5 linked regions of the Callithrix jacchus genome follow. The protein of the gene in region 1 interacts with the protein of each later gene in a biochemical or structural test. Links are inferred from orthologs where the notes say so. Each region holds a gene or a part of one and is shown in the gene's direction. Other genes may lie near its edges.

Region 1 (6,153 bases):
TCCTTGCCTCTCACAAGCAGAGAATCAGGAGTGTCAAATGAATTTATTTTCTGTAACTATCTAAACAATTCACACCAAGGACTATCAGTGTTCTCCACACTATTAGAAGTAGAGTCCTTAGCATTTTTTCGGTGTAATTATATCCAACTACAGAAACCCCAAACCAACAAAAGAACTCCATCCTAAATATTCTGTCCCTCTAGAACCACTCCTGTACCAAAATCTGTATTAGTTAGGGTTGACTAAAAGCAGAACTAAATATATATACACACATATATATATACATATATATGTGTGTATATATATGTGAGTTTATCATTAACTTACACGAACAGAAGTTCCCACAATAGGCTGTTTGCAAGCTTGAGGAGCAAGGAGAGCCAATCCAAGTCTCATAACTCTATTTTAATACAAAAAAAAAATCCTTACAAGTTTATGACAGATAAGAGAACTTCAGGTGAGGCAGGAGTTAATTTACCCAGTAGCGCTGCCTCCCTTTTCTTGGGTTTCAGTCTCTCACTTCAACAAACATTACTGAATACCCACCATGCATCCACTAGGTGCAGGTTCCATAGTTTGGGTCATCGAGAGATGCGCAGTTGTTTTATTCCTCCTCTTCTACCAGGCTAAGATGCTTTAGCATGAAACCAATACTGGATTGAGGTGCAGCACTCCCAAGCCCTTTCCTGGTTGCAACTTGACACAGGTGAAAGGGGTTGGCATTTTTCAAACTTTCCTAAATATGGAGGTAGGAAAAAAAACCCACAAGAGTATAGTCAAGTTTTTTAAATTACAGAATTACAAAATAGAAGACTGGGTTGGGGAAAGAAAAAAGAAATCATGCTCCCCGGTTCCCACCTACATTTCAGTTCCTAAAATCCTGCCTCTAGCAACCCTTTTCCTTTCTAAGGAAGCTAGTATCTCCTCCTTCTCAAGAAAACAATGAGTGCTCGATGACATTTAAATCTTATCCCCAGATGAAGGAAGCAGTCACTATCTTCTAAGTTCTCTTCCCCATGAAAACCACCAAGCACTCTCTCTCTCTCTACCAATCCCCGTATTTTCAAGAATACTTTTCAGCAAAGTGTTGAGGCAGAATAGGTCTGGAGGCAGAGACAAAGGCTGATTCACACTGATTTCCTAGAACTAAATCAAAAGGAAAACCCTAACTTTCAACACCTGAGTAACGAAAGAACCAGCGGCTACTTCCTTTGCAACTCCCCCCACCACACGCACACTTTTTTCTATGTGGCAGACGGAAAATTGAAAGAGACTCTTCAGGTGGAGGAGGAGTTAATTTAACCAGTAGTGCTGCCTCCGTTTTCTAGGGTTTCAATTTCTCCCTTCTGCAACCAGAGATACTTTCAATTTTCTGTCTGCCACAACTCCTGGGCTCAAGCAGTTTGCATAGGAGTGTAACTTTGTGATTTCACTTTAGCCTCTCATTGGTTGCTTTCCACAACCAATCAGACTGATTGTGGCACCACTACTTCATTTAAACTATACCAAGTAACTTAATGGGAAACCGCTAGAGGGTATTTAAACCCCAGAAACATTCTAATGGGACTCTTGAGCCTGTATACTCTGTTCGCTCCCACCCTGTGGAGTGTATTTTCGTTTTCAATAAATTTCTGCCTTTATTGCTTCATTCTTTCCCTGCTTTGTGCGTTTTGTCTAGTTCTTTGTTCATAAACGCCAAGAACCTGGACACCCTCCACCACTAACCGTGTTATTGTTGTTAGTAGCAGTATTATTACTTTTTTGACATTAGTTTGGCTAATTAATCTAGGGATATTTTACAGTATCTAGATGTTCTGCCAAGTTTACTATACGTAGCTATCAGCAAAATTTGCAAAGGCAATGAAAAAACAAAATGATCAGAATAGCCCATAGCTTCATGCCTGTCGTACACACATTGCTCTCACATAGTTTTGTTTCATCTCCCAATTCTAAAAGGGTATGCAAGGCAAGATACTATAACCCAGATAAACCTAAGTAACCTATGTAAAGGACGTGCCTAAGAAGACAGCATGCTTGCTGATGACAGAGCCTGAACAGACACCTGTTCTGGATGACCTAAGTGAATTCTTTTTTTATTCCAAATTCCTTAGAAAGAATCACCCTTGGGGCACGTAGGAACTGGCTCTAGAGCTCCAATAGCCAGCTAAAACGGCGCCTAAAAAAAAAAAAAGAGAGAGAGAGAGAGAGAACTGGCTCAAATGGGAGCGCATGACGCGGGGTGGGTGGTAGCGGTGAGAAAGTGGGAGAGGAACGGGTGGTTAGACTTTTAGGGATGCAGGCTTTGGCATCACTATGAAGCCAGGGTTTTCTTCTGACAGGGTTTTAACTCTGTCAGATTGAGAGTAGCTCTGTTGTAGCCCCTTTGCAGGGTTCCCATGAGACTTTTCTTACCTTGACTCTCTTAGCAACATAGCAAACTACAGAAACAGAATAAGAACGTAAGAAATCGTGAAGCACGTGATGTATAGGACTCTGACTGTTCTTGGCCCTTCTCCCGACCCGTAGCCCCGCCCTGTTACGACTGCGTGGGTTGTCTATAAAGATTCATCTCTGCGCGTCTTTCCGCCACATTCGCTTCCTGTTTTCGGTGGTTCTGTTTTGGCTTGTTCCGGGCACCGCAGTGGCAGTGAAGATGGCGTCTACCAGCCGGTTAGTGTGTTTGTCCGAGCCCGGCGAACTAAGGGGCGGTGCCTCGGGCTTTTAGGCGGTCTCCGGGCAGCCTCATCGGGCTGAGCGCCTAAGGATATGGGAGAGAAGCGGCGGGACTGGCGGACCGGCCGGGACAAAGGCACTTCCAGACAGCAGGACTGTCGGGGTGTCGCAGGGGTTACCCAGCTATCGACGTTATTGCCCCGGCGTCCTGTGTCTTCTGTAGGCACCACCCTTTGTGGGTCCTGGTGGGCTTCTGTGTCCCCAGCCCTTGCCCTCGTGTCTTTTCCGAGTATTTCGATCTGCTTTTCTCTTTTTCTCCCCCTACGCTTGTTTTTTCATCTACGACCCAAACAATCAGGGGTCCACAATTTTCTCCTTTTCAAAGGGACGGGAAACAGTTCTAGACCCTTATCGGTCTGACAGCTAGGAAGTTGGGAACGTCAGCATTGGTAAGCCGGATGGAACCAGGTTACCATCGCAGCAGGCCTGGGAAGTGGAAGCTAGAGCCATCGAGAGTTGATTAGTTGCTTGCTAAAGGGTTTGTTTACAAATGTCGTTGCCTGTGTACTTCTGAAGAAAATCTTGTCTAAGAAAATTAGTTATACGTACTGGGAGGTCGTTCTGTAGTATATAGTTAAGAATGCAATGTACTCATATCTACAGGAAATGCATGTAGTATCTTCAGAAACAGCCTTTAATCTTGTGACCTGAAAAATGCTTTCAGACCCTAATTATATTTCTTATTACCACTATGAGGTAGATATTAGTATTTTTGCATAAGTGTAAACTGAGTCATGCCAATGTTGGCTTTTCCAAGGGTAGTGTTAGAGTGTAGAGTCTAAGATACCTGTTTCCTGTTATCCACACTTGGCCTCTGATTAACTAATGTTGTATTGAAAGTATCAAATGAGTTCTACAGCTTCCGGAACTCTGGCACTGTTTTTCTGACCCTGCCGTCGTCTGTGGAATTGGTTAATTTCATAGTGAAAGCCATTTTCACAGAATAATTAAACCTTTTCTGGTAACTGCCAATATTTTTTTTGTGTGTGGTTAGAAAAAAAGAGTTTGGGGTGGGAGGCAGCTTTAGCTAATGTACTGTTCGGATAGAGAACCCTTAAAGCCAGTGACACACTTTGCTGATTTTGATTCTTTGATTGGATACTCATTCTATCTGGGTGGTGTTCTGTCAGGTAAGGCCTCCTTGTAGGTAAATGGAAAACTTTAGCTTCCCCAAATCACTCAAATACGACTTAAGTTCTATCGTGGCTTTTTTTTTTAAGTCTGAAATTTTTTCTAGATATCTGCAATTTGTGTCATTGCAGTTCCAGTTTTTCTACCAGTGACAACAAAGTGTTAAATGTATTTTTCTTTTCATTTTTTGGAGGAGTCTCTTGCTCTTTCGCCTGGACTGAAATGCAAGTGGTACAATCATGGCTCACTGGAGCGGTGACCGCCCCAGTTCAAGTGATCCTCCCACCTCAACCTCCTGAGTAGCTGGGACTATAGGCGCACACCACCGTGCCTGGCTCATCTTTTTATTTTAAAATTTTATTAATTTTTATTTTTGTAGAGACAAGGCCTCATTAGGCTGCCCAGGCTGGTCTCGAACTCCTGGGCTCAAGCAGTCCTCTGGCCTTGGGCTACCAAAGTGCTGCAATAACAGGCATGAGACACCGTGCCTAGCCTAAATGTTGTATTTCTGCCTTTTGCATGTTTTTCCCTCGGGAAGATCTACTGACTAGACTATGAAACTGGCTGGTGTCCTCACCAAAGAGTACAAATGTGCATTCAAATGTAAGCTCCACCACTTACTATGACTTCGGCAAATCATTCTCTGAGCAAAATCTTTAAAATGGAAAATAGTGCCTTTCTTGCAGGATTGTTATGGAGATTGACAGTAATGTATAACACCCGTCATATAGTGCATCCCCAATAAATGATAGCTATAAATGGAGTTGGGGATTATCTGGTACTTTAGTAGTCTTATTTTAATGTCAGTGGTGGTGGTTTCTCTATTCCTTCCCTATTCTCTGTTACTATGTCCACCACCTGATTTGTATGGTTCCTCTTTTGTATTGTGGGTAATTGGATTAAAAGTTTACTAATTTAGCATACTTTTATTTTGATAGGTAAAACATACAAATCGTCCAAAAGCAAAAGCACGAAAGACTAAAATCATGAAAAGTAGTCTCCCTCGTTTCTTGGCTCCCAGCCATCTAAGTCTCCCCTGATCATAGTTACTAGTTTCTTGGTGTTTTCCTAGTACTTAAGCTTTAAAAAACAAACACAAATAGTTCTAACTGCTCTTCTCCCGAAAAGTGTCCTAATTTAAACTCTCTTCACTACCTTGCTTTTACCTTTTTTTTTTTTTTTTTTTTAATGATGTTAGGGCACAGATTTTAAAAGTGGGCAGCTCAGTTACAAAGTGAGCACATATATAAAGCTAGTACTCGGGTAAGGAAATCAGATACTGCTAGCACTAGCTAAGACACTAGCAAAGTCTCTCTCCTCAGTCATTCCTCCTCCTTAGAGAAAACCACATCCTGATTTCTAACACCATAAATTTGTTTTGGCTGCTTTAAAGTTGGCATAAATGGCATTTTATTCTGCTCTCTAGTACCTGTCAGCATGTTGAGGTTCATCCATGTTATTGTGTATAGCTAATTCACACTTTTTCAGTTTTGTATAGGTTTTCTACTTTACTGTTCTTATCTTTGAGATGATTCTATATTGTTAACACAAACTACAGAGTTTTCTCTCTACTTTTTAATAGTGCAGAGATAATTCTATCAGTTCTTAGGTACTGTGTTTCACATGGCTTCCTCTTTTACTAATTTGTAATTACTGTTAACTCTGCTAACATTTTCCTTTATTTCAACATAGTTTTTCATAATTTATATCAACTTTAATTTTATTTGTCACAATTTATTAAAATACCTTCCTAACAGGAATTTATGGAATAAGCACAAACACGAAGTAATACTCACCTCGTTTTCCCATGAGAAGATTCAAGACCTATTCTGGTTAAGCTGACTAGAAAAGTTTGGGGAAGAATATGGATCATTTTATCAGTTTTCCCATAGATATCACATTCTAAGTTGAGAGTTAACATTCTGAATTGTATTTGCTAGCATAAGAAACTTTAGCCCAAACCACAAATACTATTTACATACTATAAGAACAGTTGATTTTGTCTTTTAGATTTATCTGATGTCCATCCATAACTTAACCATTTATTGTATTATTTCAAATGATTTTTTTTTTTTTTTTTTGAAACAGAGTTTCGCTTGTTGCCCAGGCTGGAGTGCAATGGTGCAACCTCAGCTCACCACAATCTCTGCCTCCTGGGTTCAAGCAGTTCTCCTGCCTCAGCCTCCTGAGTAGCTGGGATTACAGGTGTGCACCACCACGCCCAGCTAATTTTTTTATTTTTAGTAGATACAGGGTTTCACCATGTTGACCAGGATGGTCTTGATCTCT
Region 2 (5,936 bases), on another chromosome or scaffold:
AAGAGAGTTTGGGCCCAGGGGTCCACTGCCAACCAAACATGGAGTCTGGCAGTGGCCCTGAGTGTCCAAACACTCTGACTTTTATTAAGTACAAAGCTGGTGTCAGGGTAGTTAGGGCGTGGCATTGGTGGTCAGTGATAGGGTCAAGTACATCACGTGTCCTATAGATAGGGGCCGAAGGCTTTCCAGTAGCGTAATGCATCAGCACTTTTCCATACTTGTCAAGAAAGAACAAAGACATTAAGATTTATACTCTTTTATTGATCGTATCTTCTAAGAAAAAAGGAACAGGTGCAGAAGCGGAACATGAGAGTGGACATGGAATGTGACCACTGAAGCACAGCGTCACATAGAGACAATTAAGCCCCGGATGTCTGTGGGCCTCCCTGACAGCCGTCAGGCCCACCACAAGAGCTTGGAGGAGCCGAGTTTTCTCCTGACTCCCCAGAGGAAGGAGACATCTTGACCATCTTGAACGTCTCCTTTCCTGGCTGGCTAAACAGCAGGCGCTTTCCCAGCGCCCTCCACCCACCCTTACATGGGCCTGACAGACAGAAAAGCATTAGTAAAAGAACTAAGATCACCTATGAATAACTAAGATCACCTATGAATAACAACTATTGTTATATTCCTTTTTTTTTTTTTTGAGACAGAGTTTCGCTCTTGTTACCCAGGCTGGAGTGCAATGGCGCGATCTTGGCTCACCGCAACCTCCGCCTCCTGGGTTCAGGCAATTCTGCCTCAGCCTCCCGAGTAGCTGGGATTACAGGCACGCGCCACCATGCCCAGCTAATTTTTTGTATTTTTAGTAGAGACGGGGTTTCACCCTGTTGACCAGGATGGTCTCGATCTCTTGACCTCGTGATCCACCCGCCTCGGCCTCCCAAAGTGCTGGGATTACAGGCGTGAGCCACGCGCCCGGCCGGGAATATAAATTAATGACATTTCTGAGGCTTCTGACTCCCCAGAACTTATGGGGTCTACCCCCTACACTAACCCACTACAGGAATTAAAAAGTTTACACCCCAGACTACTTCTGCCTCTCTCACTCCTACATTCCGAGGAGTTGGCAGTTCTTGACATTTAGTGGATGAGGAATAAATGAAACCAGACATGTCTTGTTCCCCTTCCCTCTGCGTAGCCTACAACTCCTATGCATCCCTCAGTGGCCAACTGAAACCTCCCGTCTTCTCTGAGCCCTCAGAGCCCCGCTGTGCTTCTCCTGCTCCTTCCTGGGTTGTAGATTCCCATTTTATGAGTCTCCGCCACGACACTGTAACCCGCAGAGGACAGAGAGCTGGTTTGATATATTCACCTGGCGGAGCCCGGAACCCAGCAGCGTGCTTGAGTATTTCCGAACTAGAGCAATGAATGGTTGTGCTGTGAGCATGCGCAATTGTGTTACTGCCAGGCTTGAGGGGTGTGTGCACGCCTGGAATGGGGTAGGGGAACTTGCACCTCCCTCCCGTCCTCTGCAGCCTCCTTCCCTTCCCCCCAGTAAGCCAGCCAGCCACCCCCACGACGTTACTCTTCTCCGGGGGCCTCAGAGCCCTGCCCATTTGGGGCAGCTTGGACTTGCAGAGACCCATCCCGCCAGCAGCCCTTGGGGTGGTCGCGCCCCGATTCCGGGCAGGCTCTGACCCCTCCTGGCTCGGCTCAACGTCACAAGGGTCCCCGCTCCGGTCATTTTGCGGGAATGACGGGGTCCACCCCTTCTGGGCAGGTAGAGGAAACGAACCCCAAACAGGCCCATAGGGAGCCAAGCGGCAGTTCGACTGGACCCGAGTAGGCCTCAGTTGCTATGGTGACGCGGCCTTCCAAGCCCCAAAGTCCCGAGCGGCATGACGCATGCGCAAAGCGCCTGGGAGCCCGCAAGGAGGACTAGCTTCCTTCTTCCCACCCAGGATGCCCTGCGGTCCTTGGGTGCTGACGTCACGAAGGAGGGCGGTCCCACATTTGATGACCGCACTGTACATAGGAGCATCAGCGACCAAGGCCGGTTATTTGATCTCAGACTCGGCCTTGTTGCGTCTGAAAAGGGGCAGGGGTGGCTCTTTTGAGGTGGCCATAGACGCCGAGGAACATAAGTGACGGCGCATTGAGGTAGCCACAGCCGCTTAGAAGGTTGCCATCGCGACGCGGCCGCTGGAGGGTTTAGCTTCCGGGTTAGGCGGCCGCGGAGGCGTAGACGGAATAACCTGAACGCCTCTTCCGGTTACCCTTTCCCAGTGCCAGAGGCGCCTAGGGTAGGAATCCTCACACGGGGACCGGAACAGAGACCCGACAAGGAACGGCGGCTTCCCCGAGATCGAGGGACGCGCTAGCCAGAGGAGAAGAAAGGAACCCGGGTCGGACCACGGAACCACTGACCATTGCCCATGGCGGCCCTAGTGAGTGTGGATTTGGCGGGGTTCGGGGGTCCCGGCGGCGACCTCGGCGGCACCTTACTCACCGTCCGCTTCCTCTTTCCGCAGGGCCCCAGCAGCCAGAATGTCACTGAATACGTCGTTCGAGTTCCGAAGTAAATCCCCTACCCCATCTCCCACTCCTCTCCACCCCGCAAAAGTGAAAACCTTTACGGTCCTCTTAGCCTGACGTTTCTGGCCCTGTCTGTGGTTCTCCCTCCAGACCGGGGGACTTGGAGGGCAGGGCTGCGATTAAGCTGAGGCTTCTCTGGAGGCAAACACTGCTTTTTGTATGAATGAGTGCATTAATACACAGCACGATTCAGCCTCCTGGCCTAACGTTCGAGAGCATATGATGCCCAGGCTGTCTCGTCCTCTTTCAAAGCGAGCAGGCTGCCTTTCCTTTCCAGGCCTTTGTACATCCCGTTCCCTCTGCCATGAGTGCCTCCCCTCAGCCCCCAAACGGTGACTCTGTTGGGTGAATTCTTGTTGATTCTGCAAAACTCAGCTCCAGTATCATCTTCCTCCAGGAAGCACTCCCTGACTGACCTCCCTCCTCCCCAAGGCTGAGTTCCCAATAATCTCCACATCTTGGGTTTCTCCCAATCTTTGTTCCTCCATTTGTTCTTCGTCTGCACGCAGTTAAGAGGGGATGGGGTCTAGCTTCTCTGGCAGACTGGGATTCCTGCAGTCTTCCGTATCCAGTGTTGACAGGCAAAACAGACTGAATGAACCAGGGTGGGTTTGTTGAGTGACTGAATTAATGATTCAGTGGAATGGAATGCTTGAATTAATGGTTCAGTTGAATGGAACGATCGAATTAATGATTTGATTGAATTAATGATGTGTTCACATTGATTGATTAAATTAATGATTGAATTGAATTGATGTATTGGATTGGCTCTATCTCTTCTAATCCACTCTAGGAATACAACCAAAAAATATAACATCATGGCTTTTAATGCAGCTGATAAAGTCAACTTTGCCACGTGGAATCAGGTAAGTCCCTGGGTCCTGGGGGTCGGGGGCTGGGGTGGTGAGAGAACCTGACCCTGACCTTGGTGGTTGTAATAGTTGCTTAGCTGTCATAGTAACTAAGTCTTAATTTTCTCACTTTTCCCAAGTGGAGATAAGGTAGATGACAAAGAGTTGGGTGCAGTAGTTTGTACCTGTAATCTTAGCACTTGGGAGGCCAAGGCAGGAGGCTTGCCTAAGGCCAGGAGTTCAAGACCAGCCTGGGCAATATAGCAAGACCCTATCTCTACCAAAAATAAAATAATTAGCTGGATGTGGTAGTGTGCATCTGTAGTCCTGCACAGGAGGCTGAGGTAGGAGGATCACTTGACCCCAGGAGTTGAAGGCTGCAGTGAGCTATGATTACACTACTGCACTCCAGCCTGGTGACAGAGTAAGACCTGTCTCAAAAAAAAAAAAAAAAAAAAAAAAAGATGGCAAAGGCCCAGGCCAAGCTCCTGGGTGTCCCTGTAAGTTACGTTTAGTAGGACCACAGGAGGCCATTCCTTAATGGAGAACATTTAGAAGTTGTGCCCACTGATGGCCATTTTTGCCAAGGTTTATCTGGCTGAGGGAGGGGACTGGGCTAGGGCCTTCCCCAGAGCCCCTGCCATCAGAGGCTCTAGAAAGGACTGTGGGAGCCATTAAAGCATCCTCCACGGGGAAGTTGTATTGTGATCTGGCTGCTGTGGGGAGGCAAACTGTGGGTTTGAGGGCGGATAAAGGGAGAACAGGGTGGAAGCAACTGGGCTGACTGGTCTAGGTGAGTCCTGGCCTGGGGATGTGGAGGCCGTGAAGGTGATGAGATGTGGCTGGATTCTAGAGTGTTTTGGAAATGGTACATATGGACCTTGAAGCAAGAGCTTAAGGGTAATTGGGACCTTATTGGCCACATAGGTCATGATTAATGGTTACATTTTAGAGATTTTGGTGTCTTACTGTCAACAAGTTTGGCACAATGAATTTCTTTTTATTTATTTAAATTTATTTTTTTGTGATGGTGTTTCACTTTTGTTGCCCAGGATGGAGTGCAATGGCACGACCTCAGCTCACTGCAACCTTCAACTCCCAGGTTCAAGCCATTCTCTTGCCTTAGTCTCTCATGTAGCTGGGATTACAGGTGCCCACCCCCACTCCCACCTAATTTTTGTATTTTTGGTAGAGATGGGGTTACACCATGTTGGTCAGACTGGTCTCGAACTCCTGACCTCAGGTGATCCACCCACCTTGGCCTCTGAAAGTGCTGGGATTACAGGTGTGAGCCACTGTGCCTGACCTTTTTATTTTCTTTCTTTCTTTTTTTCTTTTTTTTTTTGAGACGGAGTTTTGCTCTTGTTACCCAGGCTGGAGTGCAGCGCGATCTCGGCTCACCGCAACCTCCGCCTCCTGGGTTCAGGCAATTCTCCTGCCTCAGCCTCATGAGTAGCTGGGATTACAGGCACGTGCCACCGTGCCCAGCTAATTTTTTGCATTTTTAGTAGAGACGGGGTTTCACCATGTTGACCAGGATGGTCTCAATCTCTTGACCTCGTGATCCACCCGCCTCGGCCTCCCAAAGTGCTGGGATTACAGGCTTGAGCCACCGCGCCCGGTCGCTTTATTTTCTTTCTTTATTTTTTTGAGATGGAGTCTTGCTCTGTTGCCCAGGCTAGAGTGAAGTGGTGTGATCTGTGCTCACTGCAACCTCTGCCTCCTGGGTTCAAGCAATTCTCCTGCCTCAGCCTCCTGAGTAGCTGGGATTACAAATGTGTGCCACCACACCCAGCTAATTTTTGTATTTTTAGTAGAGACAAGGTTTCACCATGTTGGTTAGGCTGGTCTTGAACTCCTGACCTCATTATCTGTCTGCCTCAGCCTAATAGAGGTAGGGTCTCACTATATTGCCCAGGCTGGTCTTTTTTTAAATGTTTTTTAAAGACAGAGTGTCACTCTGTCACCCATGCTGGTGTACACTGGCATGATCTCAGCTCACTGCAACTTTTGCCTCCCTGCGGTTCAAGCCATTCTGGTGCCAGGCTAGTCTTAAACTCCTGAGCTCAGGTGAGCCTGGGCCTCCCAAAGTGCTGGGATTATAGGCGTGAGCCACAGCACAACGAGTTTTGATAGGCATGCGTTCTGGAGATGTGTAGAAATTCTAGTTACACGATTTTTGAAAAGGAGCCTGGAACCAGATGCCTGCTGTAGATATTAGGGAAGTCTGATCACTTCTAAATTCCTCAGGTCTGGAATTTGGCCTCTGATGGCCTGCTTGAGCACCAGGTGGTCTTTTTTGTTTGTTTGTTTTTTGTTTTTGAGACAGAGTCTTGCTCTGTCACGAGGCTGGAGTACAGTGGCGCCATCTTGGTTCACTGCAAACCTCCGCCTCCTGAGTTCAGGTGATTCTCCTGCCTCAGCTTCCTGAGTAGCTGGGACTATAGGCGCCCGCCACCATGCCTGGATAATTTTTCTATTTGCAGAAGAGATAGAGTTTTACCATGTTAGCCAGGATGGTCTCGATCTCTTGACCTCATAAACCGC
Region 3 (5,978 bases), on another chromosome or scaffold:
CTCTCTCCTCTTTCTCGGCCTCTCTCTCCTCTCTCTCGGTCTCTCTATCTCTTTCGATCTCTCTCCTCCCTCCTCTCTCCTCGCCCTCTCCCCCTCCCCCCCTCCGTCTTCTCGTCGGTTTGCTCTTTTCCCGGGACTGACTTGGCCACACTAATCGTCCCCCTCCCGCAGCAATACGAAGACTTACTACTGTTTTATTAATGATTATTGAAGCGTTGTTTGTAGTTTTGAACAGTCAGGTGATTTTTTTAAAAAAAGAAGAAGAAGAAGGAAAAATTGGATTGATTGGAAAGTTTATTTTTAAAATCATCTTTGGGATAAATAGGAACCCTTGACTCCGATCGAATTTGTGCCAATAACTGCAAATTCCAGGAGTGTGCTTTGTCGTCATTAAACCTTTTAAACCAAGATATACTTTGGATCAAAATATAGGGAGATCCTACCTGTTTCTTAAAAGGATAGAAAATGAGCAGAATCCAGACTTGGATTGTGCTTATATGTGAGAGAAGAAAACAATCCAAATCCAGCATATTTCACGAATCATTAAAATGGTGGGGGTTTCATCCCCATTAAAAATTTTTTCCAAACATTTTCAATGATACTCTCTCCACGCTCATAAAATCTAATTTTTAAAACTTTTCAAAAGAAATCAAAATAATTTCCTTCTAATTCTTTTACCCATCGCTAGGCGTTCTCCCCCTAGTCATCCCTTCCCCCTCTGGGGTGTGTGCGTGCGTGTGTGTGTGTGTGTGTGTGACCATAGACGACCCATACTAATCAGGTCTCAGAGTAAATAGCAGCGCAGGACGATCTCAATGTAAATTGCGCTTGTCAGAAACACACCCCCCTCTCTCACTTTCTCTCCTCCTCCCCACACCATCCCAGTCTGTAGGTAGCTAAGAGGGAAGGGGGGGGAAAAAGAAAGAAAGCAAAAGAGGAGGGGGGAGGGGCTCTCCAACCAATGGCGTGCGGGAGGCTTGGCTAACCTTAGCCTCCCATTTTCTCTCCCCCCCGATTCAGGGCTCTGACCAGTCAGTCGCCTTTGATTATCAGTTGCCAGCAGCCCTTCTCTTGGCTCCTTGACACGAGCTCCATATAAGGCAGCGATCTCCATAGAAACGTGTCAGTTTCAATAGTAGTGTCAAAGTTCACTATATACAGACATTCGCGCAGATCCCCCTTTCGGAAACATTGCTCTGCGAGTCCACCCGTTTAAACGCATTCAATTTTTGGGTCTCTCCTCTCTCTCTCTCTCTCTCTCTCTCTCTCTCTCTCTCTCTCTCTCTCTCTCTCTCTCTCCCCCCTCTCCTCTCTCCTCTCTTTCTCCCCCCTCTCTTTCCCTCCTCTCTTCTCTCTGTCTCCTGTCTTCTCTGAACCTCTCTTCTCTCTCTCCTTCCTCTTTTCTTACATATTTTACTAGTTGTTTTCCCCTTCTTCTCCTTCTTTCTTTTCTTTTTCTCCCTCCTCCTTGTGTCTTTTACTCCATTCCTGCAGAAGAGAGAGGGCTAAACTTAAAGAAAAAAAAGGAGGAGGAGGAGGAGGCACCCCCTTCGTATTCTTCTTATCGTTATTTTATACATATATGATTTTTTTTGGAGGGAGGGTGTTGGTTCCCGGCTGAAGAGCACTTATTTAAAATACTAAAAAAAGAACATTTTTGGGCGATCTCCAGGGTTTTTTTAACTAGCTCTGTGTGTTATAGCAGAAGAAGCCGAAGAAGGAGCAAGAAAGAGGAAAAGAAGAGGATTATTTATTCGACCTACTTTGGATGTCTCTCTCGCTTTTCCTTTTTCCTTTTTTTTTTTTTTTTTTTTTGGCAATTATTTTCTTCTGATTTTTATTTTTTCTATTTCGCTGTGAATTCGTCGCCGGCGTGAATTATCCCGTATTTTTCTCCCCCTTCCGTCACCTCCCGAAAGAAGAAGGCAGCGAGAGCCCGGCGCCACCGGTACAACAAAAAGAGCAAAGTGTGTGATCTTCCTCGCCGGTTGCCTCCCGCTCTCCAGCGCTGCCTTCCTGAATGGCTGGCTGCGTCCGGCCCTGGACCTGGCCCCCCGACACCCGCGCGCCCTGATCGCCGCCGGCAGCCTCGCCCAGCGCCCTGCTTGGCTCACCGCGCTCCCCACACTCCTGAGCCCGGCGAGGGCTCCCGCCGGGACAGCGGCGGCGGCGCGGGCGGCCCCGGCCTCCGCTCGCGCTCCGGCTGCGGCCCCGACTCCTGCTCGGACTCCGGCCCGGGCCCCGGCTCCTCCAGCGGCGCTCGCCGCAGCAGCTCCGGCGGCAGCTCCAGCGGCGCCTGCAGCCGCGACCTCCGCCTCCTCCTCCGCCGCCGCCGCCTCCGCCCTCGCCGGCTTCCTCTATGTCGGCTCAGCCCGCGCGCTGCGCGTAGCCCGAGCGGCCGGCGGGCGGGCGGGCGCCCGGCGCGGGTGAGCGAGTGTGTGTGCGAGTGTGTGTGTGCGCGGGGGTGCGGGCGAGGCGGAGGGCGAGTGTGTGCGCGCGCCGTGGCCCATGCCCGCCGCCCCCGGCGCTGCGCCCCGCGCCGCTCCCGGCTGCCGCCTGTGCCATTTCTGATTTTGCAACTTGGGGAAGAAGAAAAAAGCGAGAGAAGGGAGCTTGCTCGCCGGGGGGTGGGGAGGGGGGGAAGGAGAGCGCGGCCCCCCCAGGAACGGAGCGCGGGGGGAGCGGGCGAGGGGAGCAGGGGTGTTGGGGGGGGAGCCTGAGAGCCTGGGGGGGCTGCAAAAAGAGAGAAAGAAAACAGCAGGAACCACAACAAAACGCCAGCAGGGCGGGCGGGCGCGCAGCAGCAGCGGGGCGGCCGAGGCAGTAGCGGCGGCAGCGGCGGCGGCGGCGGAGGCAGCGGCCGGTGCCCGGCTCGGGCTCGGCTCCTGCGACCCCGGGGCGCCCGGCGGGCCCCCCGCCCCCTCCCCCTCCCCCCTTCCCCTTCCCTTTCCCCTCCCAGCGCGCCCGCGCGCCCCGCGGCCCTCGGCGAGCAGCTCGGCTCCCCCCAGCGCTCCCCGGGCCCAAAGATATGGCAATGGTAGTTAGCAGCTGGCGAGATCCGCAGGACGACGTGGCCGGGGGCAACCCCGGCGGCCCCAACCCCGCAGCGCAGGCGGCCCGCGGCGGCGGCGGCGGCGCCGGCGAGCAGCAGCAGCAGGCGGGCTCGGGCGCGCCGCACACGCCGCAGACCCCGGGCCAGCCCGGAGCGCCCGCCACCCCCGGCACGGCGGGGGACAAGGGCCAGGGCCCGCCCGGTTCGGGCCAGAGCCAGCAGCACATCGAGTGCGTGGTGTGCGGGGACAAGTCGAGCGGCAAGCACTACGGCCAATTCACCTGCGAGGGCTGCAAAAGTTTCTTCAAGAGGAGCGTCCGCAGGAACTTAACTTACACATGCCGTGCCAACAGGAACTGTCCCATCGACCAGCATCACCGCAACCAGTGCCAATACTGCCGCCTCAAGAAGTGCCTCAAAGTGGGCATGAGGCGGGAAGGTGAATATTTCTTCTCTGCTTCTCTCCCCGCGCTTCGCTCTCCTCCCTGGCTCGCTCTTTCTTTCTCGCCCGGGTGGTTGCTGTGTGGGGCTGGGGCTCGTGTGGTCCCGGCCGGTCCCAGCTTCCCTTCTCCCCGCTGCCTTCCTCCCCCGGCGTCTCCCCCCCTCCCCAGCTCTCTGCCGCTGCCTCCCCCTCCCGGCCTGCGCTCCTCTCCCCGGCTCCCCCACCCCGCCCGCTGCCTGCTCAGGATTGTGTCCCTGGGATCGTGAGCTGTGGCTTAAAATCCCCTTCTTCCCTCTGTCTTGGATGTGCTCGATGTGTGTCTCCCGCGTGTGCGTGAGGCTGCTTGGGGCTGTGCTGGCATGAACTTGGGGAGGGGTGCTTATTTCCTCCAGAAAACTCTGTTTCTGTGTTTTTTCATTCCACTTTTCCCTCCACCTCTTCATACCCTTTATTTAAAATGGGGGAGGGCTGGGGGCTGGAGTACCCTGAACCATAGATTCATTGCTGCCATCATCCTTTTGGAAGCTTAGCTTGGAAAAAGAGGAGTGAGATTTATTGCACTTGTAGGTCTAATTAGGGGGGAAGGGGGGCTTCTGGCCCGTTCACTGGTTCCCTCTCTTCTTCACGGAGCTGGGGCCGCCTCCTCCAGAGCTGTGGCCTTGTTTTCACCCCTCTACTTTGAAAGGAAAGTTTGTGACTGAACCGTGCTTTCATAGTTCTGTCATTTTTTTTAAAGCATGATACTCGTTTTATTTCTTCATCAAACTCCACCCTCTCCTTAAATACTGCATACAAATTACAATTTACAACGGCATTTACCGATCCTTCTGATTTGGCCATAATGCATAGACTGCAGCTGGCATGAGCTTCCACATCATTTAATCCCTGTGTTGTATGGGTTTGTGTTTTTTTTTAAAAAAAAAACACAACTTTTGATGTTGTATTTGGATCTGCTTCATGTTCATGTGGCAAGAGATGCAGTACTTTTCTTATAAATATATTTTGCCGTTTACAGTTAAAGTTTATCTCTTGACAATCATTAAAGATGTCTTATAGTCAAATTAGAGAACCAGTCAATTTTGCAGAATGCAGATTACTCTTTCTTGTAATTGACTTTAAAATTATATTTTATATGCCAGAAGAAAAGAAATTGAATTCCTTCAGATCTGAAGGAGCAGGCAAATATGACTACTTCATTTCTAGCTCCAGGGAGATTTTGCAGGCATCTGGAAAAAAAAAAAAAAAAAACTTTAAATTGTACTCTCACTTAATTGAAAAATAACTGCCAAGTTCAAAACTATAATTAGAAAAAAGTATTCTAGCCATTATGTTTCAAGAGCTTAAGTTGCACTGGAACTTGTATTAAAATTAGAATCAAAGCAAACTTAAGAAAATAGGGCAAAACCTGAAATAAGACAGCTACATGTACATGAACATAGCTGTATTAATTTGTTGGGGGGAGAGTTCAGTAGCCCTAACTTTTCCTAAAGTTGTCTTTGTTTACATGGCAATTTAAAACGCTGGCACTGTTGAAGTAAAACATACACATTAAAAAAAAAAAAAAAAAACTTTGGTCAGCTTTAAGAACTCAAAGCATGCTTACGTTTTGCATTCAGATGGTTAATGAATCCAGTGTTTTTGCAGTTGAAAGCTCGTGCATTCACTGGGCAAAAGCTGGCTGCAGGTTGCAGTGGCACCGCACAGGACAGACATTAATTATATTTCCCACTTTTTTCAATAATGTTTGGCTACTGTAAGTTCAATTTTTTTCTTGAAAATTTTCAATTTTCTGTTGCTTTTAATAGTGAGAACTTTGTATGAGGCGACGGGGAGGAGGGGAGAAGGGAGGGGTGCAGGATACTTGTTCTCTACTCAAAAGTTGTAAGTGGTTAGTAGGATATGCAACTTGTGTCTATTTTAAGAATCATTCTATAGCATTTTAAGAGAATATGGAAACATTTTATCAGCAAAACGCTCCTTGCTTGCAAATGAGGAGGCCTCTAGGCATTTGCCTAGAACCACAACCTTCCTCCGGTTTCGCCTTTTATTTAATCCCTGATTTTTTTTTTTTTTTTAATTCTGAAGGGGTGACTGAGGTTTCATTTATCTTAGTGTTCCTCCTTGGTGGCTTAGGGGTTGGGTGGCACTTTCTTGGCCTTGCCAGGGTGGGGACCCTGGAGTCAGGCCTAGTTCCGGCGGGGCTGAGGTGGCCAGGGGCTCAGGCGATGGACACATCGAGCTACGGAGCTGGAGGGCCTCACCCCAGATCTCCTCGCGGTGTGGACTGTGAGAGCGAGCCAGAGAAGATGCGCAGGGCGCGTGTGGCTGCGGGAAGAGCTTCTGCATTGTGTTGGGTACGCTGCGGCGCGGCAATGTTCGCAAGCCCCCTGGATGCACATTGCCTCTTTTCTCTCTTTCTTTTTGTCAGCGGTTCAGCGAGGAAGAATGCCTCCAACCCAGCCCAATCCAGGCCAGTACGCACTC
Region 4 (5,369 bases), on another chromosome or scaffold:
TACCTGCTAATATGCCTTTCTCTTTTTCCGTTTTTTTTCTTTTGAGATGGAGTTTTGTGCTGTTTCTGTTGCCCAGGCTGGAATGCAGTGGTGCAATCTCAGCTCACTGCAACCTCCGCCTCGCGGGTTCAATTGATTATCGTGGCTCAGCCTCCTGAATAGCTGGGACTACAGGCGCATGCCACCATGCCCGGCTAATTTTTGTATTTTTAGTAGAGACAAGATTTCTCTGTGTTGGCCAGCTGGTCTCAAACTCCTGACCTCAGGTGATCCACCCGCCTCCGCCTCCCAAAATGCTGGGATTACAGGTGTGAGCCACCGCGTCCGGCCTAATATGCCTTATTCTTGGCCCCCATCCCATGCACTAATCTTAAACCATGGACTCTGGGAAGAAGACTGACTGTCTATCATTCTACCCGGCACATTGTCGGTGCTGGAGTAAATATTTGAATGAATATAGATACAGGAATTTCAAAAAGAGAAATAAGATTACCAAATAATTTTCAATCCTGGTAGAACCTTTAAAACCTCTGCTTCAATTGGCTTTGTCACCAGCAACATTTTAGCACTAAAATGCAGATTTTAATAGTAAATGCCGTTCAGATTCAGGTTGTAACAGTTAAGTCAGTAAACTTTCGTTTCTCAAACTAGGTCACTGCTTGAGTTTTAAAAATAAACTGGAATTGAGTGGTCTGTTTTTATGGACCTTCTTAGTGGTATTCTCCACCACCCCGCATCCTCTTAGCTGCCTTGTTAGTCGTAAGCACACCCTGTTCACTCCGCATGAGTACGCTGAGTCTCTGTGACGTGCACACAGGCACTGCAACAGGAGCATGTGGGTTAGATGAAGAGCAAGGCATGTAAATAACGGATTATAATATAGTAAGAGCTACCATGGAAGAATGTGCAGTGTGAAATGTGAATCCGAGGTAAGGCTGTTAGAGAAAGTCACGTTTGAGCCTAGTCTTAAAGCATGAGGAAAGGAGATAAACATTACAAGGAAGGGAAATAGCATATGGAAAAACCCAGAAGCAGGTACGGAAATGGGAAGTGTGTGTAAGGGGGAGTGCTGGAAGATGAGGCCCAGGGAAGAAGGCCGACCTGAGTGGATGCCTGCGAAGGCGTTTGGAATTCAATGTGCAGGCCAAAGGGGGAAGTCACTGAAACATTTTAGACAGAGGAAGGACATGCTGTCTCTGTTTGCTGTCCATGTCTTCTTCCCTTTAGAGATTTTTTTTCTTGTTTTTCCCTATCATCACTACTGCTTTCTCTGCTAATGCTTTGTACCTGCTTCCCTGCCAAGATAATTTATTTATTTGATTACAGTAAAATGGTCTTGGCCGGGTGTGGTGGCTCAGGCCGATAATCCCAGCACTTTGGGAGGCTAGATGGGTGGATTGCCTAAGGTCGGTAGTTTGAGACCAGCCTGGCCAACATGGTAAAACCTCGTCTCTACTAAAAATACAAAAATTAGCCAGGTGTGGTGGCACATGCCTGTAATCCTAGGTACTGGGGAGGCTGAGGCAGGAGAATCCCTGGAACCCAGGAGGCAGAGGTTGCAATGAGCTGAGATCGCACCACTGCACTCCCCCCTGGGCAATAACAGCAAAACGCTGTCTCAAAAAAAAGAAAAAGGTCTTAGATTGCAGTTTAGAACATCCTACAAATCAGGAAGTTTGTGTGTCCCCTACCCCCTAGTCACAGTAGATTGTGACCGTGATTGCATTTTGTTGCTTGAAAAATTGACAGACCAGGATTATCTCATTCCATTTTTACTGTTACACGGAAAAAAGAATGACACCTTCTTGTATAAAAATAATTCCTTATATTCTACCAGTTTACCAGAATGAGCGTGAACATGAGAGCAACTGAATTTGTACTCTTAATACGTTCTCAGTATTCTGTGTTTAACCCTTTTTAGGCTTTTCATTTTCTGGGCCTAGATTATAAATGGGCCCTCGAGACTTGAAGTCAGGAGAGGTCTTCTCTGTGGGGCTACCACAGTGCTCCTGGAGGTGGCTTTTCGCTTTTGACCCTGTGCATCCACAGTGTGTGGCTGGTTGTGCGGCACCGTCTTAGCCAGTCTCACAATAAAACATTCTTTGGAATTTTACAAAGATGTCCTTCTTGGCACCTAAACAGAGAATCATTTGTCTCCAACCGATCATTTTCCATTTGTAAACCCTGCTCAATTAGAAAATCGTTTATGAATAGTGTCCTGTTTTTTAAATGTAATTTGAAAAACTGCTGTTGCCGGTGGCAGACTTGCATTTTATATTACCTGGATGTTTCAAGCCTTTATGCTTACTCATTCACACGGGTCTGCTAGTGAAGCCAACCGCAGGTGTGGGAGGCAGGCAAGCCTCAGGGGAACCCAGGGCTCCTTTGGTCCATTGCTGCCACCTGCTGGGGCCGGCTGATGGAATGGGAAGGCTGCCCAACAGCGAGCTAAGCCATCCTGAATGAACCTCAACCTCTGTGTAGTTCCAGTACTAGCCAGCTTTTGTGTTTCTAGGTGACAGTCTACCCCTGACTTCCAGTACTTTCTAGGTGACAGTCTACCCCTGACTTCCAGTACTTTCTAGGTGACAGTCTACCCCTGACTTCCAGTACTTTCTAGGTGACAGTCTACCCCTGACCAAAAGGACACTGTGAACTCTAGAGCGTTATGTCAGTCACTGTAAAGTGGTGTCACATTATGTTGGTGACACCTCATCTCCAGCAGTGATGAGGCCCTGAGAATGAAAACACACTAAGGACTCAAAGATCCTAGAGTTTCAGAGCTGGAAGAACCGTAAACCAGATGCAGTATGTAGTCACATGAGTCACCTAGGCACTTGTTAAAATGCAGGTTCCTGGGCCTAGCCCCAAAGACTTTGATTCGGTAGACCCAACATGTGTCTTATTTAACTGGCTTCCCACAAGGTTCTGATACAGGTCGTCTAGCATCACTGCAGAAGAGAAGAAAACTCCTGAGATATCCAGGCAAGAGCTTCTCAGCCGTTGTTCTTATTAATGCCTCGTTTCAATCAATAAGAAAAGTTATCTTTCATCAATGGGATGAGTCATCACCATACTGCAGCTGGTTCTTTGAAGCAGACGCACACAAAATAATTAACTTTCCTTCCTTCTCTAAGAAGGAAATCTGTACTTTGTATTGGGCAGCTTATTGTGGAATGCTTTTTGGCCTTGAGCATTGGCAAGCAAAGGTGGAGTTTCATATTACACTTAACATAGCCATTATTTCCATGACTGCATTAATCATTTAGTAAATGTTTGTTGAATTTTTAGGGACCTAAAACACCATCATACAGATTCTTTTCTTTGTAGAAGTAAAACACAAAGCTGCATCCCCGATAGTTTTTGAAGATGTCTTACTATCCCTTCTTTGTTGTCGTTGTTGAAATAGAGTTTGGTTCTTGTTGCCCAGGCTGGAGTGCAGTCTGGCTGACTGCACCCTCTGCATCCTGGATTCAAGCGATTCTCCTGCCTCAGCCTCCCTAGTAGTGGAGACAGGGTTTCACCATGTTGGCCAGGCTGGTCTCAAACTCCTGACCTCAGGTGATCCGCCCACCTCGGCCTCCCAAAGTGCTGGGATCACAGGCATGAGCCACCGTGCCCAACCTGATTATCACTTCTTGTTCCCTTCTCTGTGTGGCAAGCTTGGCTAAAGTACAAATAGCAGTAAATACAAATGACAAAAAATAAGTGGCCTAATAACAAATTTGAGAACTCACCTTAGAACTGAGGTTTCTGAATACCTGTCGTATGCCTGCTTGATAGAATATTCTCAGAAATGTTAGTCATTTTTTATGTATGCTGTTGCTCCCTGAAACTGCTGGTTTCAATCTGACTGTAAACTGAGTCCTTGAGGCTGCTGAGCTCAACGGCAGATTACACTTGGTGTACTGTGTCACACTGAGTGAGGACCAGTAATATTTTCATGTGTTTCAGCTAATGTTTTTTGTGTTTGTTTTAGCTTTTAAGTCATTGGCATTCAGGACTTTTATCCCCTTTAATGCAAATGATTATATAGTTAGTGCAGTGATCATATCACACATGTGGAATCAAAAGGCAGTTTACTTATAGATCAATCTTGCTGAGCTTTTAGGAGCATTTTTTTTTTTGAGATAGAGTCTCGCTCTGTCTCCAGGCACCAGGCTGCAGTGCAGTGGCGCGATCTCGGCTCACTGCAACCTCCGCCTCCCAGATTCAAGCAGTTCTCCTGCCTCAGCCTCCCGAGTAGCTGGGAGCATAGTTTTTATGACTTGCATACGTGCTTTGGCATAGCATCTTATTTTAAGTTTTGTTTGCTGCCTTTATAATCTCATTTATTAGGGTTTTTTTGTTTCTGCTTTAGGTGTACCTGAAGGAAATCTTAAAAGAAATTGGAGTTCAGAATGTAAAAGGGATCCACAAAAACACGTGGGAGCTGAAGCCAGAGTACAGACACTATCAAGGAGAAGAAAAGAGTGACTGAGGTGCCTCCCGGCCTGCATGCCAGTGAGACCACTAGCAGTATGCTGAGCAAAAGGCGCTTGAACACCGTATGTTAACAGGGGTGAAGCGACGACCCTACTTTCATTTCTCTCAGTAAATTTTTTAAACCTGTAATTCTTGTAAAGTTTCTTAACTGGTTTCTTTTATTTTGTTTTGTTTTGAGAAGAAAGAACAAATTTATTTATAGACTTCACTTGTATTAAACCAGATTATTCACAATGGGAATAGGGGTTAGAGGATTAAGAGGGTTTTTCTTAAGTATTAGCTTTTAAACATGTACAGTTAGGAAATGTTTTTTAAATGAGGGCTCTCTAACCTTCCTGTTATCTTTGAGGAGCTGAGGTAATGCAGATCCAAGGAGGATTGTATAGCAAAAAAGAAAAAGGCAGTCAGCTGTAGAAACTCATAGAAGGAATAAAAAGCCAAAGTTCCTTACTTAAAAATTGTCAAAGAACGACGCGGTGTTTTTCTTGTAAACAGGTGGTCGTGTTTCGTGTTCGTACTCAGTGTTAATAAAAGGAGAGCATGTAAGCTTGTAGTGAAATGGCAGTTTTCATGATTAGCCTGTTTTACCGTAGTGATACTGAAATGAGAAATATGCAGAATCGTGGTCAGTTGATGTTTCTTTTATTTGCTTTTAAGAAAATTAGAAATTAGGCTGGCTCATGCCTGTAATCCCAGCACTTTGGGAGGCCGAGGAGGGCAGATCACCTGAGGTCAGGAGTTTGAGACCAGCCTGGCTAGCATGGTGAAACCCCATCCCTGCTAAAAATACAAAAACCAGCCAAGTATAGTGGTGGGCTCCTGTAATCCCAGTTACTCAGGAGGCTGAGGCAGTAGGATCACTTGAATCTGGGAGGCAGAGGTTG
Region 5 (5,832 bases), on another chromosome or scaffold:
GCTGTCATAGCTGTGTCTTCTGCTTTACAACTAAACCATAAGGGGAAGGGCGGTAGTGGGAAAGCTTACTAATTGCCTGGTTACTTTTCCACATTTAATGTAGCAGCTAATCCTACCCCTGTTATATAATGCATTAATTCCAGAGTTATAACCCCAGAACCTAAAACAGTGCATGTTGGAAAGAAAATAAATTGACTAGTTGCAGCAGTTTGTAATATGAAGGGATTGTTAGATACAACAGAAAATGGAATTATAGAGGACAGAAAACACCCACTTCACACATCATGAAGAAGTCTGTTAGTTCTCAATTCCAGTCTTAAATTCTACTTGGTAATACTCTTGCCAAGTCCCTTTAGGCCACCATTACTTTTTTTATCTGTAAAACTGAGTGATTTTATTAAATTAACTTTGGCACCACTTCAAGCTACCTGACAAAGAAATGAAGTTGACATAAATTGTGGTTATGTTCATAGAGTTTCAAAGGCAACTTTCTTAGGGGAATATTAAATAATTCTCTCTGTAAAATATTTCATAATGTAAATAATATTCAGGGCAATGTGAAAACATCCTTAATATATCTTTGCCTGCCACAATTTTATTTAGTTTCTGTAAGAGTAGTTTTTAGGCCTCTCCACCTCCAAGCATCTAGCACAATGTCTTTGCTCACAACACACGCTCTTAGGCCAACTCTAGAACCGCACATCCATAAAATGCAAAGTTAGCATTTTATTGAAGTTCTTAAGGAGTTGAATTATTTGAATTATGGAGGAAAAGATAAGGGCAGTGAGGTGGGAGCTGGAAATGCAGATGTCAGCGTCAGCTGTAGTTCTCAAATGTCCCAGGTGTCAAAAGAATTCCCTCCCTCCCTCCCTCCCTCCCTCCCTCCCTTCCTCCCTTCCTTCCTTCCTTCCTTCTTTCTTTCATTTATGTTTTTAAGAGGGGGTTTTACCATGTTGGTCAGGCTGGTCTTGAACTCCCGACCTCAGGTTGCATCCATTGAGATTAAAAAATAAAAAAGAGAGTCCTTTAGTAACCAGTAAACGGTTACTTTTGGACTCATTAAAAAAAATAAATAAAAGAAAAAAATAAAAAGAAAAAAGAATTTTAACGCTAGGATTAAACTGGGCTCAGCATTAAATCCTTGCTGCTTCAGAATAAAACTCTTTACTTTCTCTAGTAATAGGTTTTCAATGAAGACCAAACAAGGAAATAAAAAGCTCAGTTAACAATAAAACAGGACCATTACCCAGTATTTCATTGCATAATTATAGTTTAGCGTCTAAGTATGTAGACTCTGTGTTCAAAAGGATTCTGTCATTTACATCTCTCTGCCTCACTACTCTCACCTGTAAAATGGGTAATAGGACTGACCTCAGAATTAAATGAGTTAGCGTATGCCAAGCGCTTGCCAGTGCACGTTTCTCAATGAACGTTTGACTTCCTTAATGAACAAAATCTCTAACTTTTTGTTCTACTAACTTCTGTAGCCTTAACACAGAACCGGATGCAATACACAATGCCTGCCTTTTTTTTTTTTTTTTAAATTGAAAATACACGCTAGGTTGGTGTCGCCTGGGAAACCGATGTGGAAAGCCGCGAAGGCAGAAGGCCCAAGCTCCGCGACCCCCTCCCGCGCGCCGCCGCTGCCTCGTCGTCACACGGAGCAAAGTCCTCTGGGAAGTGTAGTCTTCAGGCCTTGGGAGGGACTTCAGACCCGTGCCGAAGAGCCAGGAAATTGAGGGAAGAAAGTTAAGGGGAGGGTTATTGGATAAGTCAAAAGTGTCTGGAGTCCCAGACATGAGTTTAGCCTCTCACCTGAGTCTCCCAACACCAGTACCTTCACTCGATCCAGGGAGGCCATCTTGCCACTGCCTTCTCTGGGTTAACGCCTGTTCCGGGATTATAAGCCAATCAGAGTTGGGCATGGAGGACAGAGCCTTCAATTTCATTGGCCGCTAGTAGCGTGACTCGCCTGATCGAAGGCTTCACTGAGCTGATTGGCTGGTGTGGTAAAAGGTATCGGGGTGTTTTCCAAAGCTAGTCGCAGAAAAGATGCGTTTTCTTTGTCGCACAAGGGCGTGGCTCATTTAAGCCGGTAGTTGAAGCTCTGAGGGCGGCTGTAGTGGGAGTGTTCGAGGATTCGCTTTGGTAAACCTTGTTCCCTGTTCCTTGTTCGGAGTTCCCTGGCCGGGCATTGCATTTTATGATTTCTCCTTCCTTTCGCACCCTCTTAATTATCCTCCCCTAATGAGTTACCCTCTTGCCTTGGTCCTCTAAAGAACCGTTGACCCGGAGCGGCCCGTGTGCGACCTCGGTTAGGCCGGGCTTGGCTGCCTCGAGTGTGGCCCTGGACCCAACTGGGAGAGTCTGAGGGAGTTTGGGGTCTTGGGGTCTCGCAGTCTCGCACTGGGGAGGCGTGCACATCACCGAACGCGTCTCATGTAGGGCAGTTGGATCCTAAGGTTTCGCGGTAGTCTGCCGCTATGTGTGTGAAGGCGTGCAAAGTGCCATGAAATATAGTAACAGAAAACCGCAGTTAGATGTGTAGAATCAAAGTTGTTCTAGAACTGGAGTAGTGGTATACTGAAGTAACCTAACTATACTCTCCGCATCCACTCTTTTCTCGTTTTGTTCTCCACTATGCAGTCAGCGCAGCCTTTTAACATCGGGAATTTGATCCACTCACCTCCCGCTTAAAACTATTTTAAATCTAAGAAGAGAGTGTCCAATAAATAGCCTGTCTGATTCTGCTGTGGAAGCAAGAGTGTGGAGGAAATGAAGTGCGGGGAAGCTGGCAAAATGAGCCATGTTGGAACAACACGTGCCTAGGAGACATATGGAAAGTTTTATGGAAGGGCTTGTCTGGCTATGCTAGAGGCTGGAAATTAATTGCTGAACAAGATAAAGTCTGGTCTTAGGTATAGAGACGGAGAAAGTACAAGAAGGGGAAAGAGCCATGGAACATGTGAAAGGGGATACTTGTATGCTACTATGGGGAGTCTGGGAAGACCTGCCTCTATGAGGAAATGTTTTTTGAGACTTGAAGGATGATTAAGAGAAGGGAGTTTGGGCTTAGCTGTAGGGGCAGAAGGAACAGCATGTGCAAAGGCCTGGGAAGTAGGGAAAGCACATGTGGCTTATGGAATTGAGAATATGCTAGTGTGGCTGGATATGAGGCTGACAGGGTAGACAGAGGGCAGAGGGTGCATTCTTTTCAACTTTGTTTCTGTAGCTCCGTGCCTGGTTGATGCACAGTAGTCCTTAAATGTTTATATGATTAAAATACACGAGGGTCTGGACTGGGGTAGGGACGTGAGGCTGGGAGATGACTCATGGACTGTGAAGATCAAAGGAAGAAACAAAGGTCCTGGGTGGTCCCATACTCACAAGTCTCCAGAGACCAGCCAAACTCCTTCCCTAATAATGCCAGCTGCTATTCGGCTTCAGCTTATTGTTTTCATGTCGGAACATGGGTTTTATTTTTCCTCAGATATTTTCAATTTTTCAAGAGGAGCTGGAAGTTGAAATGTATGTGAGCTCTTAAAATATTTTAATGTTGACAACTAATTCAGAAAATTTTTGAAACGTTCTTTGGGTGAAACAATGCGTGGGGGGCTGCCAGTTTGAGAACTCTTACCTAAGACATCTAGAGATTGAGTAAGGAGATTCAGCGTGAGTGGGAGGTGGTGGAGGAGAGAAAGCAGTGGTCAGGAAGGAGGATTTCAGAATGCGGAGATTTTGAACAAGGCGGCACAGCTTCATTTCATTCCTGAGCTCTAGTTTTCATTTGTTCTGCTACCTGCTGGGAATATTCAGAGGAATATCCTATGGTATTTCCTCAGAGACACTTCTAAAAGTGATTTCCTTATTTCTTCCAAATCTGCTCCTCGTCAGGTGTCACCTATTACTCATGTCAGTACTTTTCCCTTCCTAGGTATGCTGGCTCAAAACAGAGCTATTTAAGATTTTTCCTACTCTCATACTCTGTATGCAGTATATTTTGTTGGGTCCTTTTGACTTTTTTTCTGTAATAACTCATTCATTCTGTTCTCTTCTTGCAATTTTTTGCCTTCTTCCTTAGTTTAGGTTTTCTTACTATACCCCCAATACTTCCACAGTGCCTCCACCTTCACTCACTTGAGTCCATTCCTCATGCTGCTATAAGAGTCACTTTTCTAAATAGGGGATTTATTACAAATACCAATACTTCATTGAACTCTTATGCCAGCCCTGATGGTAGAACACTTTGCATTAATTATCTCACTGAGTTCACACATTAACTGTATGAACAGGGCACCGTTAATCACTCTTTTTTTTTTTTAGGGTCATGCCCTGTCACCTAGGCTGGAGTGCAGTGGCAAAATTATGGGTCAATGCAGCCTTGACCTCCTGGCTCAGTTGATCTACCTCAACTGGTACTACAGGTACATGGCATCATACCCGTCTAAGTTTTTAAATTTTTGGAGACATGGGGTCTTACTCTGTTGCCTGGACTGGTCTTGAACTTCTGGGCTCAAACAGTCCTCCCACCTTGGCCTCCCAAGGTGTGCAGTTACAGGCATTAGCCACTGCACCTGACCTGCTTACTTTTTATATATGAAGAAACTGAGTCTGAGAATTTTCTGGGGTCAGGGGGGGCTAAGAAATGCTGGAACTGGGATTTAAACTCCAAAACTGTTGGATTGTAGAATCCTTGACTCACTCCCTTTAGTCCTCATGGCTTCCTAGGGTGTTTTAGGCAAAGGAAACAGGCTCAGCATTAACTGGTACAGGGCCCTCTCCATGCAGGATGGGCATTGGCAGGATATATAGTAGGCACTTTCACATAGCAGAGTCACCTAAAGAGCTTTAAGAAATTGTGTGATGCCTAATCTGGCCCCTCCAGGTCACCTGAGACAAAATCTTTGGGAATAGGGCCCAGTGTCAGTATTCTTAAAATGTTCCCTAGATGATTGTGCCTTACAACCAGGCTTGAGAATTTAATCTGCGGCATGGCATGTATGGGCGGGTAAGGAGAATACAATAGTAGGAAATAATCCTGTAAACAGGTTATGTTGACATTTTTCTGCCATTCTTCGTTGAATGTTTCTGAAGCCATATGTTGTGTTCTGACAACTGTTGAAGATGTAAAACAATAAAAAACAAAACTGGGTTCAAGTACAATGTATAGATCAAACTGAAAAGGAGAAAAAGTGTGTCCAGTAGTATGCTGTGGTACTACTTTGGTGTTGAGCCCAGGCACTTGCCAGGCATCCTTAAGCCCTGGGGTAACAGGAAGTGCTCTAGGTTCACAGATTTGTATCTAGGTGCTACTTTGCTGTATCTTATTGAATATAGTCGTACCTGAGTATTCATAACCAAAAGTACATATTTTCTTTTAATTTTCCTATGTTGCAAGATGGGCCTTATATTTTCCTCCCAAAATATGTGCATAGATTGATTATAGATTGGTGTGTAGAGTTTCCTTGTAGTGTGGTACTGTGGATATCAAAATATTTCTTATAAAAAGGATATTAAATCTGTTAGGGTTGATAACCACTGATTTCAAATAAAAAGGTCAGTTGAAACTAGTATTAACAACAGAATATGATTCCCCATTGAAATAGTTGAATGGGATGTCTCTGTTAAAAATTATCCTGTGGAGCCTGGCCAAGATGGTGAAACCCTGTCTTTACTAAAAATTCCAAAATTATGTGGGTGTGGTGTTGCATGCCTGTAGTCCCAGCTACTCGGGAGGCTGTGGCAGGAGGATCACTTGAACCCATGAGGCAGAGGTTGCAGTGAGCCAAGCTTGCGCCACTGCACTCCAGCCTAGGTAAGAGAGCGAGACCC

What was found.
Region 2: the proteins of GTF2B (region 1) and GTF2F1 form a complex in vitro, tested with the Homo sapiens proteins (3 studies listed by BioGRID and IntAct). The link is inferred for Callithrix jacchus from reciprocal best matches to the Homo sapiens genes GTF2B and GTF2F1.
Region 3: the proteins of GTF2B (region 1) and NR2F1 form a complex in vitro, tested with the Homo sapiens proteins (2 studies listed by BioGRID and IntAct). The link is inferred for Callithrix jacchus from reciprocal best matches to the Homo sapiens genes GTF2B and NR2F1.
Region 4: the proteins of GTF2B (region 1) and GTF2F2 form a complex in vitro, tested with the Homo sapiens proteins (2 studies listed by BioGRID and IntAct). The link is inferred for Callithrix jacchus from reciprocal best matches to the Homo sapiens genes GTF2B and GTF2F2.
Region 5: the proteins of GTF2B (region 1) and GTF2E1 form a complex in vitro, tested with the Homo sapiens proteins (2 studies listed by BioGRID). The link is inferred for Callithrix jacchus from reciprocal best matches to the Homo sapiens genes GTF2B and GTF2E1.

The regions. Positions count from the first base shown.
Region 1 is NC_133508.1:126,116,684-126,122,836, reverse strand, and holds the start of GTF2B (transcription initiation factor IIB), read left to right. Parts: upstream 1-2,585; 5' UTR 2,586-2,653; coding exon 2,654-2,670; exon of another isoform or gene 2,671-4,453; coding exon of another isoform or gene 4,454-4,467; intron 4,468-6,153. UniProt on the Homo sapiens protein: General transcription factor that plays a role in transcription initiation by RNA polymerase II (Pol II). Involved in the pre-initiation complex (PIC) formation and Pol II recruitment at promoter DNA.
Region 2 is NC_133523.1:6,030,291-6,036,226, reverse strand, and holds the start of GTF2F1 (general transcription factor IIF subunit 1), read left to right. Parts: upstream 1-2,224; 5' UTR 2,225-2,378; coding exon 2,379-2,390; intron 2,391-2,474; coding exon 2,475-2,521; intron 2,522-3,331; coding exon 3,332-3,404; intron 3,405-5,936. UniProt on the Homo sapiens protein: TFIIF is a general transcription initiation factor that binds to RNA polymerase II and helps to recruit it to the initiation complex in collaboration with TFIIB. It promotes transcription elongation.
Region 3 is NC_133503.1:117,071,864-117,077,841, reverse strand, and holds the start of NR2F1 (COUP transcription factor 1), read left to right. Parts: upstream 1-2,560; 5' UTR 2,561-3,028; coding exon 3,029-3,491; intron 3,492-3,716; exon of another isoform or gene 3,717-3,823; intron 3,824-5,138; exon of another isoform or gene 5,139-5,234; coding exon of another isoform or gene 5,235-5,247; intron 5,248-5,922; coding exon 5,923-5,978. UniProt on the Homo sapiens protein: Coup (chicken ovalbumin upstream promoter) transcription factor binds to the ovalbumin promoter and, in conjunction with another protein (S300-II) stimulates initiation of transcription. Binds to both direct repeats and palindromes of the 5'-AGGTCA-3' motif.
Region 4 is NC_133506.1:164,481,191-164,486,559, forward strand, and holds the end of GTF2F2 (general transcription factor IIF subunit 2), read left to right. Parts: intron 1-4,360; coding exon 4,361-4,480; 3' UTR 4,481-4,884; downstream 4,885-5,369. UniProt on the Homo sapiens protein: TFIIF is a general transcription initiation factor that binds to RNA polymerase II and helps to recruit it to the initiation complex in collaboration with TFIIB.
Region 5 is NC_133516.1:82,239,655-82,245,486, reverse strand, and holds the start of GTF2E1 (general transcription factor IIE subunit 1), read left to right. Parts: upstream 1-2,097; 5' UTR 2,098-2,148; intron 2,149-4,323; 5' UTR 4,324-4,424; intron 4,425-5,832. Other genes in the region: RABL3 (rab-like protein 3), read right to left, coding at 1,816-1,861.